Linked DNA regions of Daphnia pulex. The protein of the gene in region 1 purifies or fractionates together with the protein of each later gene. This does not show direct contact. Links are inferred from orthologs where the notes say so. Each region holds a gene or a part of one and is shown in the gene's direction. Other genes may lie near its edges.

Region 1 (7,189 bases):
AAATGAAAACATAATACGTAAAATATAATAAATAACCGCTTGTCCCATGATTTCGGCTTTGATGATTTTTGCTCCGAGAGCATTTAATTCCTGTTCAGTCCATATTTTGTCATCTTCTTGTGGTGGCTGTGTATCCTGTTTTTCTTCTTCACTTTCTGAAGACGACGAAGAAGTCGATGAATCCACTGGGTTGCTTGATTTGGCTTCATTTTTCTTCCATCCTGGTTGCGAAGAATAAAACCGTTTGTTTGTATGGGAAACAACTTCGTCACTCTCACTTGGTCTTCTGAATCTTTCTTGAACGGTTGATGATTTTCTAATGTTTTCTGGATGTTTTCGCTCTCGGGATCTTGATCTATCTCTGCTACTAACATGTGTGGAATCTCTATCTGAGGTTCTTTGTTTTTTTCTTTCTGAAGGATTGGAAGATACTGCATGACTATTAGGACTATCATGCCTTTTTGAGGATTCTGCTTCAGTTCTTTCAGGTGGCAAACCAGTTCCTCCATTTTTCCAGTATGGATTTAATTCTCTACTTGACTGCCCTGGTTTTTCCATCATGGTCTTTCTTGCAATTTCTTCATTCTTGTTCAGGGATGTTCGTTTGGGAGGCATGCTACTGTTACTGAAAATTGGAAGCAAAGAAGGCACACTCATCCATTCATCTCTCTCAAGAGGAGCAGATGAAGCGGGTTCTGTTGTTTCAGATGTTTTCTCTACCCATTCATCAGAATCAGAGGAATTGTCTTTTTTCTTGCTTTTTTTATGTTTCTTATCCTTTTTATGTTTTTTTTCTTTTTTACTTTTTTTGGATTTACCGGACAATTGAGCATCCAACTCAGGCAGCATCCATTTGTCTTCACCATTTAATTTGGCCAATTCTTTTTTAGCTTTCCTTTTCTCATAATCTCTTTCTGCCTAAAACAAAAGAAAAATAAACTAAACCAAATGTATACCAGTAAAATACTATTAAATCAAATTGGTGAAATGTGATGGTGTATTACCTTCGCAAGAATTGCCTCTCTCGCTTCTCGTTTCATTTGTCTCATTTCATCTAAGTCTTTAGAATTTTCAAAATTTATCGACATTTCAAAGGATTATTTCTATGGGCTAAAACTTGAAAAAGAAAACTAGAAAAGCAACACAAATTATTTTCAATCAAATTTACAAAAACGAAAACATTCGTTTTGACGTCTGTCGTTTTGAAGCGAAAACAAGCATTGCCAATTTGTTCAACCAGAGTCATCCGGTTCAACTTTTAATTTTTTTTACAAGCATATAATAAATTTTAAAAACGTTAATAAAAACGTTAATTAAAATTATCAATTGTAGTAAAAATTGTAAAAAGATGCCATTTAATTCAATATTGATATCAAATGTTTCCAACTCGTCAACATCGGATTGCGAAAACTAGTTTTCCCGCCATCTATAAAGAAAAGAAAACAGTGGATAGACGCAGTACAAGTTACAACGTCTGCATACCTGATTGAAGTGATTCACGTGCATTACGTTTTGTTTTGAGAACGACAAATTTAAACGAATAATTGAATTAATCTATAATGTGGGATCAATCAGCAAGTAATAAATACAATTTTGTCAAGCTTTGTGTTATTAACTTTACATTCTTTCCATTACAGGCGATTTTGGAAATGGAACAATGGCCGGTGGTTTCTTTAATGCTGGAACTCCAGGAGGCACAGTTAATACTCCTGGAGAAAAGAAGGTTTGAAGACATTTTTAATATCTCATAGACATTTTCTCATGTTTGTTTCATTCACAGGGTGGAGCTCAACGGGCTCATAATATCATTCCAGTTAATATCAAAGATATATTGGATGAAATTGATGAAAAACTAAAGATAGAAGATACTGAAGCCCACATGGTATCCATATTTATCTTCACTTTGAGTTACATTTACTTATGATTTACAACTTATCTCTTTTAGGTTACATTTGTAGGTACTGTCGAACAGATTGAATCCAAACAGACTAATGTTTCGTACACTGTAAGGGATGATACAGGTTCTATTGAAGTTGTTCAGTGGATTGAGGGTGAAGGGGTATGTATTGTGTTCTGCATATGTTTTCACTCATTATTTATTCCAATTTATTTTTGCAGAATGTCCAATCACCTTTTCAAGTTGTGGAAGGGAATTTTTGTCGAGTTGTTGGATCTATTAGACAGACACAGGATCGCCGTCACGTAATGGCATTTCGTGTTGCGAAACTAACAACTGCTAACGAAATAACAACCCACTTGCTAGAGACGCAATGGGTTCGTATGAAGTTGAGACAGATGAAGAGAAAAATGGTAATGAACAACTCAAATGAATGCTTGAACAAAGGTAAATGATTTTTATTTATAAAGGGAGAAGGAACAGGACAATCAATGAATAACTCAGTGATGGGTGGTGGAATGACTGGGCCTTTAGCTTCTTCATCCTCAGCTACTTCCAATGTGGCAAACGGTATCATGTCAGGACTGTCATCTTTTCAATCTATGGTTTATACCATCATTCAGGTAGATTCATTTGTCATCTATGTGATCAAATTCAAACAATAAAAAACCATGTTATTTTTAGGCAACAACAGCGGAAACCGGCATGGAAAAGTCGCAGATCTACAATTCTGTCAGAGGAAGAATGATCCCACGTGATGTAGAGTAAGTGTATTGATGTGGAAGACAAACATGTTTTCATTGATTTTAATTTAAATTTTTTATTAGTGCTGCTTTGGAATTCCTTTGTTCTGAGGGACATATTTACTCTACGGTGGACGAAGACCATTTCAAATCGACCGATAGCTAAACAAGATTAAGATGTACTGTACCTTCATTCTCATTAAATATCTACTAGAATAGATACATTATACTCAAAACTGTGTCGACTCAGTCTGCGGAATTTATCCTGAAGCTATTAATTCCAACTGTTTTGAAATGGTTCAGTTCTGTCTGTCTTTCAACATAAAAGCTTAAATCGTCTAAAATCCATCGGATCTACATCGGATAATTCATTTTCAGTATATTCAAATATCAGGTACATAATGACCACGGATAACTGGATCATGTCTAATTGCTATGGCAAGTGTTTGTGATGCATTCGAAGTAAAATGTTATTTACATCATAGAATGAAGACGTAAATGTTAGGTATCAGGCAAATTTACTTCTATTATTGGTGATAATCTTCTTGGAAGTTCCCACAGTAATATCCCGTTTCGTTGCCTACGAATAACCGTAGCGCCATCGGTTTCATCACTTGGTTGGAGTGCCGCTTTACTATGATAACATTATTGATTCAAAAATTAAAGCTAAACTCGCTAACATGTAGAAAATGTTTTGCTAAAGTTATCTTACTTTAATAGACGGTTATGATTTACTCGGTAAAGTAACTTGGGATTTAGTTTTGCAGGATCTTGCGGCTCAGACAAAATGCTTCCAATGGTACCAATGATTAAGACGATCACCACGCTCAATACCGTGTACCACAAATACGAAATCCGTAAGAGCACAAATGCATCCGCTCTAGAATGGAATGAAATATCGCGTTAAGTTTCAAATTATTATCTAGAAACGGACTCATACTTTTGAATAAAAAAATGAACGGAAGGTGACCCAACGTCTGTTGAATTGAACGACGGGCAGTTATCTGTGATAAGTAGTTTCATTTGATCATTCGTAATTAGATTATTAGTTTTGGCAATTTGTGTGCTTATTCCCAGCAACATCATAATTGCGAAAGATATAATGGCTCCAAATCCTGCTCCCTTTATAATCAACAATACAAGCAATAAGAAAAATAAAAGTGAAACGTAATAATGTAATACTTACAGTCGAATTAGACCATGGGACAAACATACCTAAACTAAAAACCCCTAAAATTATTCCTGCCATAGCGCCAAGAAAACTCAGAGAAGACTAAATCGAAATCGTTAAACGAAACTATTAATAATCGCCACATCAAAACTACTCATTTTGCGGTTTCTTACATCCAGTGAAATTTGAAACTTGGCAAAATATATGGCCACGCCAAATGTGACACAGCCAAAGATGATTACGGTCATTTTGTTAACTAATGATGCTTTGCTATCCCGCATTATAGGGAAGGAAGGTCGAATTAGGTCTTCGAGAACAACCAGCGAGACGGCATGTAAATTACTAGATAGAATACTACATTGAACAGTGAGAAATTGAATGTTATTGAATAAACTTCTACTGTATAGTTCTTTTCTAAAGAAATAACCTTGTAACCCCACTGAAAATTCCTGTTGCGAAAATTCCTACGTAATAAACATTTCGTCATTAATTTTTTAGGAAAAAGCAATGTGAAAGACCAGTATACCTGGTAAACCCGGAAATTTCCTAATAGTTTGGATAACAAACAAAGGGAAGATCTCGTTCGAATTTTTAACAATCTATAGTGGAGAAATGGTAAGGTTGTTTGATTAAATTCAAGTAAGCGTATGTCATTTAGCATCTGAGTGAAATAAAATCTTCCTCACTTCGGCTTTCAAAGGAGCGCAGTCAAAGTAAAATGCATATGTAACAAGGCCTGTTAAGCAACAGAGAGAAATGATTCCTGCTAGTAAAAGGAAATTGATGCACTGCGATCTGAAAATAAACGTCAAAAGTCAAATTTACTTGAGAGAAGGATTTTCGTTCTGTTTTGAAATCACGTACATTCGTGCTTTATGAAGCGTTGGCAAAGCTAAGCATCGCTGAACAAACACTTGATCCGTAGCGTACATAGATGTGAACAAGAAAAATCCTCCGATGGACAAAGACCAGACCTTAAAACATTTTGAAAACTTTGAAATTAAAATATTATTTCAAATAATAAGGCATTTATGCATTAACTGTGTGACGAGTGGTAGGGTCGAAATCGAAGCTGCAAAAAAATAAAGGATTAAAATCCAACATTCAGTCGGATGCGAATGAAATTATCTACTTAAAGAATTCAATGCGGGACGAGTTGGCGTTCAGCAAAAAAACGTTTTCTAGACCACCGACGAGCATGACTCCTTTTACCAACACAATAATTATTGATCCGTACATCATGCATAATTGGAAAGTGGCGGTCCATACTACAGCTTTGATACCGCCCTAAAATAAGTAGCAATAACTCATTATTTCTCATCAGAATAATTTACTGTACTTACAATAGCGGTGTAGAAGATGCACACAGCGAACATAATGCTGATTGAAACATTCTCTTGGAGTCCGGTCACTGAGCAGGTATACATGATAATTAATAAGAGGAAACCGAGTCCTCTGAAGGCAAAATTTTATATTCACCTTGTTTTAAAGCCAGTGATGGTCCATACACCATCACTGCCAAATAAAAAATCTGTTTAAATCCATACACGAAAAAAAATATTAATAACAACCGCCTTATTTCTATTTTGCATTTCTTATTGAAATACCGTTTTGAAAATGTAGAGTATAGAAATTAACTGTCGTATAGTACAACTGAAGCGCATTTCAAGGTACTAAGAAAAAATTGACAGTATAAAACTTGCTCACTAAATAAATTACAAGTTTACAATCTTATACTTGATGGATCGAGCCGTCAAGCTGAAGTTGGTGATAAAATGGTAAGTAGACATAAACGGATACTGGAATGGAGAGACCCGCGGCAACAATTATCCACCAGTACATCGATCCAGTTAGGTAAACATCTGTCGGTATGCCAAGCAAAGCTGAAGCCGATATTGAGCTGCATGAAAAGAAAGATAAATCATCAGTCAAGAAATAAAGCTGTCAATTTAATAACACCTTGCTGTTAAAGACATGGCGATGGGAAAGATGCCTATTGTTTTTCTGCCAATTAGATTGTCGGACGTTGAATTGCTTACGCCACGCCACGCGTAATACACGCCGATCACCATTGAAGAAAGCAAAGCGGCGATAAAAATCAAGTAATCACCTAAACTGAACGTTGCCTTTTGGAAAGATTCAAATCGATCCATATCTGTGTCTCACTCTAACGCAATGAAAATTATAAATTAAAGTAGCGGCAACGAACCGTAACGATTTTCAAACTAGTTAATATTGACGTTGAACGTACCACACCGTAACGCGTAACTCTGTTTTAGTGCGGTTTAAACACTGGTAATAAACAATCAAACAGTCCGAGACAACTGCGTTTTAGATAGTGTACGAGTTTTGATCGTAAAACATGGTCAAACCAAATGGACAAAAATGTTAACTTGGTTCGATGGAGACTTCAATGAGTCAATTCTTTGCAACGCTGTTGTTCGCCTTGACCGTGTTGATTAGAAAGGAGGCTCACAAGAGTTGTCCCACAAAAAAGAGTTTGTCATATCACGGTCAGCTGGTTTAGGCAGCAAAAAAGCTTTGGAAACAAACAACTTTTTTTAAAGAAAAAAAAATAGCTCTGTCCGCACTAGAAATAATAATACAAAACGCGCAATGTAGTACTCAGGTTTCTCGCCATTTCCTTAGCGCATCCATTTTCATGAATAAATTATCTTTTCACATTAAGGCGTAGATGATTTAAACAGTTATTTTTAAAAAGAATTGCGAGAGAAAAGAAAAGAAATAAAACGGGTTTATAAAAGTCGAGTTAAAACGTTTTCTAAGGATAAAATCACTATGATTTACGGTTTTCTACTCTTGAGCGTACCTCAATATTGGAAGACAGAAGGCCGCTGCGAGCGCCTTACTTTGGCAGGCTGAGTTTAAAATGTTGCAAAGGTCTGTGGTCCGACATAAAAACTGGAAGTGTAGCCTTCATTCCTTATTCAAAAGGACTAGACTGACAATTGTGAAGGTCACTATTGATTGAAGGAGATGAATTATGGTTTGGGGCAAAAGTGTTAACTCATAAGGAGTGCATAATCCAAGGTTTCACTGAAAGGTCAAACTATAAAATTCATTCTAGTTCAATGTCATCAGTTTTGGGGTCCGAAGGCAACTCTCCAGCCTTCTGGAAATAGAAAAAAAAATCGTTATTCATAATTCGTACCACAAATGAAATTACACCGCAATTATTACTGAACACGTATTTACTTTGCTCGATCGAAAACAGTTGCTGAATTTGCAAAGAAGTTTGGGGTCAAGTTTTTGAGGATTTTGTGGTCCGGATAAAAAGCTGACTATTGTCCCGAGGATCAGCACAATCAACATTCCTATCATTGTGTACCACAGGTACGAAATCTTCCATAAAACAAA
Region 2 (11,459 bases), about 5.2 Mb from region 1:
GGCTGCTTTAAGTCAATCGGAAACGGGTGAACTGTTTGGGGGAGGTCCCCCTCCAAATATTTTTTTTTCTCTTCTCGTAGGATTTTTCTTTGTTCGTGGTTGATGGTCGGAACTCATTAGAAGAATGTGATACTAGTTGTGGGGGGGAGAGAGAAAGACATAAAAATGGAAATCTGTAGTGAGAGAGAAGGTTGGAAGAAATGAAAGTCAAATGAGCACCGGACTTGCCCCCGTTGTTGTACGTTCGTCCCCCGAGTCTTCTATTATATTTACGATACGATCGGGTTTCTTTTCTTGTAGACAACATATAAGGGCACACACACACTAAAAACTTGACGGCCATTTTGACCTACCCCCCGACCTTGGGTATTTTTTTGTTTTTTGATTTATTTGAATCAAATGATTAATTTTTTTTCTGTTTTTTTTTATTCTGGTTCATTTGTTTTCGAATGAATGTGTGAAAGCATGTCTGTCTGGAGAGCAGCTGAATTGATGATGATAATGTAGTTATGATTTGAAACAATATTAAGGCATGAAAACATGTGACCTGACTCTGTCTCCCCCCTCATATACTGATTTAATAATGTGTAAAGGGTGTGGTGTTGAGGAAATTGAACCGGGTGGAGGGATCCAGCCCCTGTCGAAGCCTTACGCCTTTTGAAGGATGTGCGGATTCGCGCGTTTACTATTTTGAATCCGCACATCCGGTAAAAATGCGTAAGACTTGCGACGAGGAATCTCGCGTATACTTCCACGGTAGTAGTGCCATTCGTTTGGTTAGTTGAAAGGGAAAAACCCAAAAAAGAAAAATTTTCGATTTTTCCGTATCAAACCCCCCCCCCCTCCCACCTTCGATCATCTCTCGATTGTAGTCGCAATTGTTCAGTTGACAATATAAGAAAATGCTATATCTATATAAAAAAAGAAACATGTTATCTTTCTTTGTTTTTATTACTTGTCTCATGATGATGGGGAAAACCTTTTCTGGAAAGTTACTTGTTTAGACTTTAGACCACGCGAGAAGAAGATCTCGTCCGTTGACCTGTTTTGATTGTGTGATAAGATAACGATGGGTGAAGGGGAAAAGGCCATGGCAACAAAATCTTCCGCTTTCATAAGAGACCCACCCTAATAACCCGAAGGTATGGACGAACTCTGTAGCTCGATTTTTCTTTTTGAAAAACACGAAGAGAGAGAGAAAAGACAACAAACCTTTCTCTAGTACCTAGAAATAATGATGCCCTTAAAACATTTGTTGTTGTTTTTGGTTTTTTCCGTTTCTCTCAACCGGTTTTCACCTGCTTGAATTGCCTTCAGGGATGTGAGCTTTTTACATTTTTGGACATGAACCTTAACTCTTATTCTCCAGATCTATAACCATTGTCATTTTTGTTGACGAGTAATTTCATTTCAATTCCTTATATGCAAAAATAGCATTTTTCAAACGTCTAGACGTTAGCCATTTGTGTGAGTCGCTGCAAGTTCCAAAATTGGCCGTTAGATGAACTTGCAGGCTGTCCCTAAACTGCGAAAGCGAAACGCGAAACGCGAAACGCCTAAAATGCGGAAAAGCTGTGCGAAACGGACCCAAAAGTTGGGACCTTGTTTCTCATTTTAGGCCTTGGGTCCGTACTAAAATGCGAAATCGGTGGGTGCGAAACGTCAACAGAACGTCAACAGACGACGCCATTAACATACTTGCGTCACAAAAATCTACTCGTCAAGATAAAAACACCTTGCCTTCGAGTTAGTTTATCCTAGTTTCTGTTTTGTATATAATTCGTTAAATTAAAAGGATATTACAGTTTTGTGTATTTACCTATTGTATTCATGATTTTGATTTGTGATTCACGTTATTTGCCATTCAATCACCGCAATACTTCTTAAACTTGGTATGTAATTTCGTGGGTTTTTGCAATCTTTGTTGATGATCTAATGGAGGGAATGGATTGAATTTGACATAGTCAATTTATTGATTCCAAACTTAACTCATCTGATGTTTAAGATACTTTGTTTTTTCTAATATTTTTCTTCGCCCAACTAATTGATGCATTTTTTTTAGATAATTAAAGTCATGGGAGATGTCCACTTCATGAAACTTGCTTTGTCGTTTTGCTGAAGTAAGCTGTCTTTCTGCAAAGAAATAAATGAGAGTAAAGAAAAAACTTCCCAATGTGAGGTGACATGATGTTTCACCTGATACATTGTAACCTACATTCTCTGAGGTATTTTTTAGTTAAAATTATCATGCTGTCTGCATGTTATTCTCATACTTGTCTGTTCTCATAGGTAATACATCTACTGTTTCTGAGGTGACGGAAAAATTATGCAAGTGTTTTCTTTTCTAATCGCTTTTCTTGTTCAAAGCAATAATTTGTTATCCCTGTCATAGAAAACCTTGGTGGAATTCTGAGAGTGGTAATAGTTTCATAGCTCATGCTGCCCAAGTAATAGTGTGGAGCAGGCGTATCTGTGCTTTACTTTTGCTACAAGCGCTAGAAGATTGGCATCACAAATCAAATCTTTGTATTTTCAATCTACAATTCAGGTATCAAAGAATCATTTTTATGTTTAAGGAAAGTTTCGGTTCTTGATTTTTCTTCTTCTGTGATGGCTAGGTGGATACAATATGTGTGCATGTGCGCATGGAAAGAACGCTCGTGTCGATGACTTTGTCAACGGGGGAAAAATGTTAAGCTTAATTTGCTCGATAATAGAATTTGTTTTAATCTTTTCTTCTTTTATTATCATTAGGTGGTGTAGGCTGATTTATTTCATACCTCGGTTGAATCACTCATCAGCCCGTCCCAAGACGCATAGCTGACTTTTGACTTCAATTTTTCATAATTTAAACCGAAATAAAGTAGCGGCTGAAGAAATGAAATTTAATTGCTCCCCCCTTTCAATGTCTTAAATAAAATAATCCCACAGCGCCCAGCGGGGTACATTAACACATTGTTACGTCGTCGACGTTCTCTATGTCATTCGATCAATCTGTTTCTCTTAGCCGGAATTTCTCTCAACAGTTGTTCGCCGAGGAAAATCGGCTGACCAAGTCAAATGGAAAAAACTATCAGCCGATAGCAGCCCGGCGTCTAAATATATATAGCTATTCGATTGAAATTTATTGAAAATGCCACCCAGCTAAAACGTGCTGAAAGCTTCTTCCGCCTCTATTCCACAAAGACTTAATTGGAGATTTCTCATTCAAGAGCTCATCCGAGGGACCCCCGTGCTCTTGAAGAAACAAGAGTAATCGAGTCGACTAAATAAATTTAATTTGATAAGACTGTTTTCCCATGAAATACAAACATTTTATTTTCAAAACTCTAGCGAAAAGTAATATTCGTTAATATATAGTGTACACACATTCATATCCATACATACATTCACATTACATATACTATGAGTCATGAAACATGGCGGCCTAAACGGGCCTCATCCGTCAATTTGCACTCTGGTGGGGAAAAGAAAACATTTTCGTTTCGCATTTTGAGGTTTCGCATTTTAGTATGCCCTCCGGCATTTGGTCCCGCGAAACGGTCCAAAAATTTTGGTCCGTTTCGCACAGCCTTTCCGCATTTTAGGCGTTTCGCGTTTCGCGTTTCGCTTTCGCAGTTTAGGGACAGCAGCCGAACTTGCAGACAGCTTTGAAAAACCAAAACAAACACAAGACCTTTCGTCTGTCTGTCTCGAGCAGTACAGAACGAGAAATTGACAAATAAACAACCTCCCAACTATTGACCGGTAAGCAGAGTCACGTACGAAGCAGAAGAAAAACATGGCCACAGCAGCCAATCTCGTTCTCGGTCTGGATTTAGGAACTACTTCTGTTAAAGTCAGCGTTGTAGATATCCATTCACGCAAAGTGGTAGCCAAGCAAAGCAAGGACACACAGGCCGGCGAAGGAGCCGAACAAGATGTTTCGAAAATCATATCGGCCGTTCATAATTGCATCGGTCGGATTCCTAGAGATTTGCTCAAGAATGTTACAAAGATCGGCGTCTGTGGACAAATGCATGGTGTTGTGCTTTGGAATAAGGAAACCGCTTGGACCACATCAAGCAGTGATCGCTTTGAATTGGGTAAGGGTCCGTTTAGCTCACTGTACACTTGGCAAGATTCTAGGTGCTCCTTGGAATTCCTCAGCGAAGTTCCCAAACCAGACTCCCATTTGAGAATTGCATCAGGATATGGATGTGCCACACTTTTATGGAAGCTGAGAAATGAGCCAGAAGAGCTTTCGCTTTACAGCTGTGCAGGGACCATCCAAGACTTTCTTGTCTCCATGCTTTGTGACCTCGACTGCCCTGTCATGTCCATTCAAAATGCTGCCAGTTGGGGTTACTTCAACACTCAAGACAAGACGTGGAATCTAGACATCTTGAAAACTGTCGACTTCCCCATCCATCTTCTCCCGAAAGTAATGGATAGCGGATCCGTGGCGGGTACCTTGTCGAAAACCTGGTGCGGCATCCCGCGTGGAACGCAAGTGCTTACCGCCTTGGGGGACATGCAGTGCTCCGTGTTATCCACCCTTGCTAACGAGATTGCATGCACGGCCGTGTTAAACATCTCGACATCTGCTCAACTTTCTTTTCGCATGCCGGCCGACTTCACTCTGCCGGACACGCAATCATCTATCGAATATTTCCCGTATTTTGACAACCGCTATCTGGCCGTCGCTGCTTCGTTGAACGGGGGCAACGTCATGGCTTCTTTCGTTCGGATGCTGCAGTCCTGGATGCAGGATTTGGGCTTCGGGGTTCCGCAGAGCTTGATTTGGGATAAAATGCTGACCCTGGTGAAGCAATCAAATTCAACTGAACAAGCCATGACCATCATTCCGACCCTTTTTGGCGAACGTCATCTATCCAGGTTGCCCGCCGCCGAAGTATCCAACATAAATTCGGGAAATATTAGTCTCGGCAATGTGGCGAAAGCATTATTTGAGGGACTCATCACCAACTTGCACAAGTAATAAATTATCTTCTTTATTGCTAGTTTTCTTGACGGTTTGATTTTTATGTTTTCACCAAACAGCATGATGTCCACCACTCTGCTGGAACAGTACGGAGTTACCCAGTTGGTTGGAACCGGATCTGCCCTTAGTCGAAACCAACCTCTTCAACAGCAAGTTGCCGTTCAATATAAAAACATTCCATTTAAAACCGTGCAAGAAGGAGATGCATCTTACGGAGCAGCTCTGGCCGCTTTAAATACTCCACGAACGCCCACGGATTGATAAAACTAAATCAATATTTTCTATAGTCGTTTACCAGCATACGTACTTGCCATTATTTGCCAAACAAATTATCAACATTTTATTATTAGAATATTGCAACGCAAATAAGCTTGCCTTTTAAGTCATTTTAGAGACGCAACTTTACAACTTTTGTCAGTTCACCACTGGATTTTCCACATCTATTAATCTATAATTCTATAGTATTGTTTTTTAAATTTTATTTCAAATTATTTTAATGTTTTTGTGCTTTGTACAATTCTTTTCTCTTAAAATAAATGATCCACTCTTGCCTAAACAAGTAGTTTTTGTCTTATAATTTTAATTTTTAAAAAACTTAAATTAGCTTAAATTTTTTAAGCGACGCATTAGGTTGGCGGAGAGAAGAGGCTTCCATATTGGCGGGTGATCTAACAAAAGGGATGGGAAGTCATGTTATTATTTTCTCATTTCAAATTGTCGGGGATTAAACACGTTTCTTTGAATCGTTTAGAGTTTACTAGATGTTGTAAAACAACTGCCGTATCAGCAGAGTCTTGTAAAATGGTCCAGGTAACATGTCGCAAGAATTGGTATCATCCTTGTACGAATGATGTTACTATTTCCTCATGGGTATTGAACGAAACGTTCGTCTCAAATTCGATGTTTATCTGTAGGTGCTTAATGTAGCAGAGAAAAACGATGCTGCCAAAAATATTGCTGAACTTCTTTCTCGCGGTAATACTTCACACAGTCACAATGCTTAAGCTGCCAAATGTAATAGGATTATATGTTCTTCATTACATTAGGTCGTGCAAATCGTAGAGAAGGCCGAAGCAAATTCAACAAAATCTATGAGTTTGAACATAATCTTTTCAACCAAAATGTCAAAATGGCAGTTACTTCAGTAACTGGTCATCTTCTATCTTCTGACTTTGTTGGAAATTATAAAAAGTGGCATGGGGTTAATCCTGTTACTTTGTTTGAAGCTCCAATTCATAAATTTGTTGCCGATGACTATCAAGACATCAAAAGAACTTTGGAGGAAGAAACCAAAAAGAGCAAATACCTGATCATTTGGACCGATTGTGATAGAGAAGGTGAAAATATTGGCTATGAAGTAATCACAGTATGTCAGGCAATCAAGCCTAGCATTCAAGTGTTCAGAGCAAAGTTCTCTGAAATAACATACCAAGTAAAAGGCTAACTATCTTAATGAAATTTACAATCTAATTCCATTTGTCTAATTTTATTTTATAGTCAATTGCTCGAGCACTTCAAAATTTGGGCCCCCCTAACAAAAATGTCAGTGATGCAGTGGATCTTAGAATTGAGTTGGATCTTAGAATTGGTGCTGCATTTACAAGATTTCAAACTCTACGACTTCAAAAAGTCTTCCCAGGCTCACTTGGTAAGTGGATTTGTTGGCTGTATCAAGTCTACGACAAATAAATTCAACATTTCAATAATAATGTTTAAAATTTGTAGGCCAATCTATGATCAGTTATGGTTCGTGTCAGTTCCCAACTCTAGGCTTTATTGTCGAGCGATATAAAGCCATACAGGATTTTGTGAGAGAGAATTTTTGGAAACTCAAAGTTGTCTGGGAGCTCAATGAGGAAGAGCGCGTTGAATTCCTTTGGAAAAGACACCATTTGTTTGATCAAACAGTGGTTCAAATACTCCTTGAAAAGTATTTGTTATTATTATCAACTAGCATTATCAACTAAAATTCAAGTGTTATTAGTTTTGATTAAATTTATATTACTATGATATTGATAAAAGATGCCAGGAGAACCCTGAAGCTGAAATAATCAAAGTTCAAACAAAGAATAAAAGCAAATGGAGACCTTTGCCTTTAGACACTGTTGTATGTGAAATTTTTTTGTCTGGTCTATTTTTCCGCATATAATTTTACATCACGATTTATGTCATAGGAACTTGAAAAGCTAGCATCCAGGAAACTGCGAATCAATGCCAAGGAAACGATGAAGATTGCCGAGAAATTGTACACTCAAGGATTCATCAGTTACCCACGTACCGAAACAAATATCTTTCCCAAAGAATTGGACCTGACTCCTTTGGTCCAGTGTCAGGTATATCATGACAAACTTAACTATTCGTGTTCTTGAATTATAATCATATTGGTTACGCTAAAATATTTTGCATTAGACGGTTGATCCTGCTTGGGGAGGATTCGCTCAACGCGTTTTGGACGAAGGGCTGAACCCTCGCCAGGGGAAGAAAAGTGATCAGGCCCATCCTCCCATTCATCCAACAAAATATGCAGGAAATTTAAATAATGAGAATGAACGCAAACTTTACGAGTTTATCGTTCGCCATTTTTTAGCTTGCGTCAGTAAGGATGCCCAGGTATGTTGAGGAATTTATTTTATTTCCACGTTCCGCTAAGTTTATGGTTCTTACAGGGTTACGAAACGGTGGCCGAAATCGAAATTCAAGAAGAAGGCTTCGTCGCCAGTGGATTGCAAATAGTAGCAAGAAACTATTTGGAAGTATATCCGTACGAGCGCTGGAGTGATCGTAGTCTTCCCCAACTCAATGAAGGCCAGCGCTTCATCGTATAAAACTTAAACATTTCCAGGATATTCCGGTCAAATACTAATTGTTGTTTGCCTTTTATAGCCGACATCGATAACCATGGATGAGGGAGAAACTAGTCCACCTCAACTATTAAGTGAAGCTGATTTGATTTCATTGATGGAAAAACATGGAATTGGTACTGACGCCACACATGCTGACCATATTGAGACGGTCAAATCGCGGCAGTACGCTGGCGTACAAGGCGACGGACGCTTCTTACCTTGTTCATTGGGTATGGGACTCGTACAGGGTTATGACGCCATGGGGATCGCGCTTTCAAAGCCAAATCTCAGAGCTGAACTCGAGGCTGATCTTAAAAGGTTGGAAAAATTAAATTAAAACCTAACCCCGTCCTAGTATTAATTGCACATTTAATCTTGCAGAGTTTGCGATGGAGAAAGGAATCCGAATGATGTCTTGAGAGAGCAGATTGAAAGATACAGAAGGGTGTTTGTACAAGCAATGGAACAGGTAAACTTGTTTTCACGAATGGTTGCCATTTCAAATCAAGTTAAAATAATTACAATAACCACAATAGGTCATCAAAATCGACGAGGCTCTTTCGACATTCTTTAATGAGGAACGACAGGAAGCACCACCGATGATTCCTGAGGGAGGACCAGATGCAAATTTGCCTTACCGAAAGTGCCCTGCTTGTAACTTGGACATGACTCTGCGACGGAAAAAGGACAACAGTTTCTTTTTCTCTTGTATGGGCTTTCCTGAATGTAAAACCGCCGTCTGGCTGCCAGCTGCTGTACAGCAAGTGGAAGTTGATGCGGAAAAGTGTAACGCGGTCTGTATTTCGTCTTTTATTTAACAACTATCGTGCTTCTCTGTTTTTTACAAGTCAATCTCTTCTCCAGTGTCCTTTTCATCCACCCCTATTGCGGTTCCAATTCACCCCGGGAGTTTACGCTCCATTTTACCCGGATACTCATCGCGGTTGTATTGGTGGATGCGACCCAAACTTTATGGAACTTCTAGGAATCCGTCCGTTGGCAACACAACCCCGAAACCAAAACAACACTCAGCCGAGTAACACTAGAGTTGCCAATGATTCTGGGAATTCTTCTGGTTACGCTTCCGGATCTCAGTATTCTGCAAATAGCTCCCGTTCCTCTGCTTCGACTCTTCCTAGACCTCAAGTCCAGCCTCGCCCAATGGCTCCCAATAACGCTCGAAGTGCTCGACCGCCAATTCCTTCAGCGTTCTCTGGAGCTACCCAACCGAATATCCCTTCACAGCCGTACTTCCGTCAACCTGTGCCTCATCCGCCATCAAGATCTGATAACAACAACGGGTATTTATGATTTACTAAAGTGAAATGGATCTTAAACAATCTAAACCTTTTGTTTTGTTGCTTAGGGACTCTGCGATTGTATGCAAGTGCAGGGACGCACCTGATGCTTTGCTCCTAACGGTTAGGAAGGAAGGTCCCAACACGGGTCGGCAGTTCTATAAATGTGCAAAACAACAGGATGGCTGCGATTTTTTCCTATGGGCTGATGCTGCCAATGTACCGGCACCAGCTGCTCAAAATGGTCGTGGTGGGGCAGGAGAAGCATTTTTCCGTCAGCCGACTGCCCGGAATGAGCGACGTGATAACGATGATTCGGAGACTTACTGTGACTGTGACGGAGGGGGTCGTGAATTGGCCACGACAAGAACAACCCAAAAACCAGGACCAAATTGTGGGCGTCAATTTTATTGTTGCGCCAAACCGCGTGAGGCACAGTGCAATTTCTTCAAGTGGATGGATGACACCGGCGCTAGCGGAAGTGGATTTGATCAAGACTCCCGAGGAGGATCGAATCAAGACACGGGTTCTAGAGGAAGAGGGCGAGGAAGAGGACGCGGTCGTGGGAAGTCTAGTGATCCGTCATCCACTACCGAAAGAAGAGCGAGGAAATGCGGAAACTGCGGTCAAGAAGGTAGGCTAATATTTACATTCCTTTTCGTATTGTTTACAAACTGTTAATTTCTGAATGCAGGTCACACTAGAAATCATTGTCCTGATTTTGCCTAATGTCTTTCGCTGGCGTACTCCCGTTCAGTTCAGTCAAATAAAGACATGTGTTGATACTTTGGAAGCATTGAACAGTTATTTCACGACGATTAGATCAAACGAAGTGATCAAAACGAATAGTGTAATAAATGTATTCTGTTTCATCCTAATATTTTAGATATTACATGTAAGCAACTTAGACATCATCTGTATAAATTATCTCCTAATGCAGCGTAACTTTGGAAAGTTGCAATCATAAATTAACAACGGTTATTCGGTGCTTCGCAACTGACAGGTAAAAAAGGTGTGGCTCTGCCTGTCTAAAAATATAACAATGTGTATAATGCGTATAAATGTCGCATTCACTCTATTGACCTGTTTATATAATGTGTTATTGCTATCTATTACCGTCACTGATCCACCGACATTCCGTTTAGCCTCTGGTAATGAACAAACAACAACTACTGTCATATCTGGTCACTGTGCCCTCTGAAAATGTTGTTGCGCCACACGATAAGGATTTAGTTAGTTTTTTTTTAGGCGTGATTTTTCATAAGATCCGCGATAAACTCTGCGACGCGAAGTGGTTAAAACAAACGAAAATGCTGTTTCTAGTAAGTTCAGTCGTTGACTTGTGCATCTACAGTTTATCCGTTGTGTTCCACGCCTGCTCGTCTCCCATCTGTTCTGTAAGAAAAAGATGATGGAGCGGTGGATACAATTTATCTTGATTCTTGTAATCACTCAAGGTAATGTTATACTCAAATATGTTGCGCATTTATAGTTGTTTTTAATCATGTTTTCATTTCTTCTTCTTGATCAGGCTACTCTTGTTCTTTTTTGAAGGAATCGCCAACACCGGTAAGTATTTTCTGGCGTCGTCAATTACAGCACTATTTTTCCATTGCATTTATTTTTAAAGTGCGGAAAGTTAAATATTTTACATTTATTTTTTACTATTACACAGTCACCTGATTTCGTTTGCCCCTCCGACCTACCAGATGGCTATTACACTATGAACAACCAGTGCACTAATGATTTTTACTTGTGCTATGGTGGAAACATGATAAATTACCAGGTATACGAACAAAAGACTAAAACAATCTTCATAAAAGCAGAAGTAACGTATTTTGTAAATTTATGTTGTTCTTATTAGCTCTGCCCAGAACCACAATTGTTCGATCCAGAAATGCACACTTGCGTCGAACCCGCACTTTGTTTCGGTAAGTCCTTAGTTGACTTAAACATTTCTGAAAATCAGTAACGTAATGACTGTTATGTTTTCTTTCCTTCTTTCTTTCTCTTTTTCTTCTTATCAGAATGTCCCGCTGAAGAAGGAAAATATCCTGTTCCTCAACACTGCGTCGGTGAATATTACGAATGCACTAAGGGATACCCGCAAAAACTGGTCTTACTACTTTATTATTTTTCCAATTTAAAAAATGTTCTTTGACCATCTCCGTTTCCTTAATGTAGACGTGCCCTAACGACTACATCTTTGATCCTGTGACTTATGAATGCGTACCTTCCGGTGAAGCTACATGCAATACCGGTAGTAATTTTTTTCTTTAGACTTCCGTCGACAAAAAGTTTTAGTATATTTCTTCAAACGTGATGCGCAAAATT

Evidence for each region. Proteins that work in one complex are often made in the same cells at the same time.
Region 2: the proteins of replication protein A 32 kDa subunit-like (region 1) and DNA topoisomerase 3-alpha-like purify together in Homo sapiens (affinity purification with mass spectrometry; 4 studies listed by BioGRID and IntAct, with this or other methods). This does not show direct contact. The link is inferred for Daphnia pulex from reciprocal best matches to the Homo sapiens genes RPA2 and TOP3A.

The regions. Positions count from the first base shown.
Region 1 is NC_060017.1:2,573,473-2,580,661, forward strand, and holds replication protein A 32 kDa subunit-like, read left to right. Parts: upstream 1-1,416; 5' UTR 1,417-1,559; coding exon 1,560-1,578; intron 1,579-1,637; coding exon 1,638-1,723; intron 1,724-1,780; coding exon 1,781-1,882; intron 1,883-1,945; coding exon 1,946-2,059; intron 2,060-2,118; coding exon 2,119-2,310; intron 2,311-2,367; coding exon 2,368-2,520; intron 2,521-2,581; coding exon 2,582-2,661; intron 2,662-2,724; coding exon 2,725-2,806; 3' UTR 2,807-2,984; downstream 2,985-7,189. Other genes in the region: CWF19-like protein 2, read right to left, coding at 37-918, 1,005-1,088; sodium-coupled monocarboxylate transporter 1-like, read right to left, coding at 3,142-3,274, 3,353-3,520, 3,581-3,762, 3,827-3,913, 3,985-4,165, 4,239-4,275, 4,338-4,410, 4,498-4,606 and 8 more; sodium-coupled monocarboxylate transporter 1-like, read right to left, coding at 6,891-6,944, 7,013-7,189. UniProt on the Homo sapiens protein: As part of the heterotrimeric replication protein A complex (RPA/RP-A), binds and stabilizes single-stranded DNA intermediates that form during DNA replication or upon DNA stress.
Region 2 is NC_060017.1:7,795,616-7,807,074, reverse strand, and holds DNA topoisomerase 3-alpha-like, read left to right. Parts: upstream 1-5,633; 5' UTR 5,634-5,674; coding exon 5,675-5,794; intron 5,795-5,898; coding exon 5,899-5,959; intron 5,960-6,030; coding exon 6,031-6,416; intron 6,417-6,481; coding exon 6,482-6,632; intron 6,633-6,709; coding exon 6,710-6,914; intron 6,915-7,006; coding exon 7,007-7,091; intron 7,092-7,158; coding exon 7,159-7,317; intron 7,318-7,393; coding exon 7,394-7,594; intron 7,595-7,650; coding exon 7,651-7,803; intron 7,804-7,867; coding exon 7,868-8,145; intron 8,146-8,208; coding exon 8,209-8,296; intron 8,297-8,363; coding exon 8,364-8,621; intron 8,622-8,691; coding exon 8,692-9,128; intron 9,129-9,193; coding exon 9,194-9,759; intron 9,760-9,819; coding exon 9,820-9,854; 3' UTR 9,855-9,918; downstream 9,919-11,459. Other genes in the region: sedoheptulokinase-like, read left to right, coding at 3,782-4,977, 5,044-5,245; chitin-binding domain protein cbd-1-like, read left to right, coding at 10,534-10,582, 10,657-10,694, 10,801-10,911, 10,990-11,056, 11,153-11,241, 11,310-11,385. UniProt on the Homo sapiens protein: Releases the supercoiling and torsional tension of DNA introduced during the DNA replication and transcription by transiently cleaving and rejoining one strand of the DNA duplex.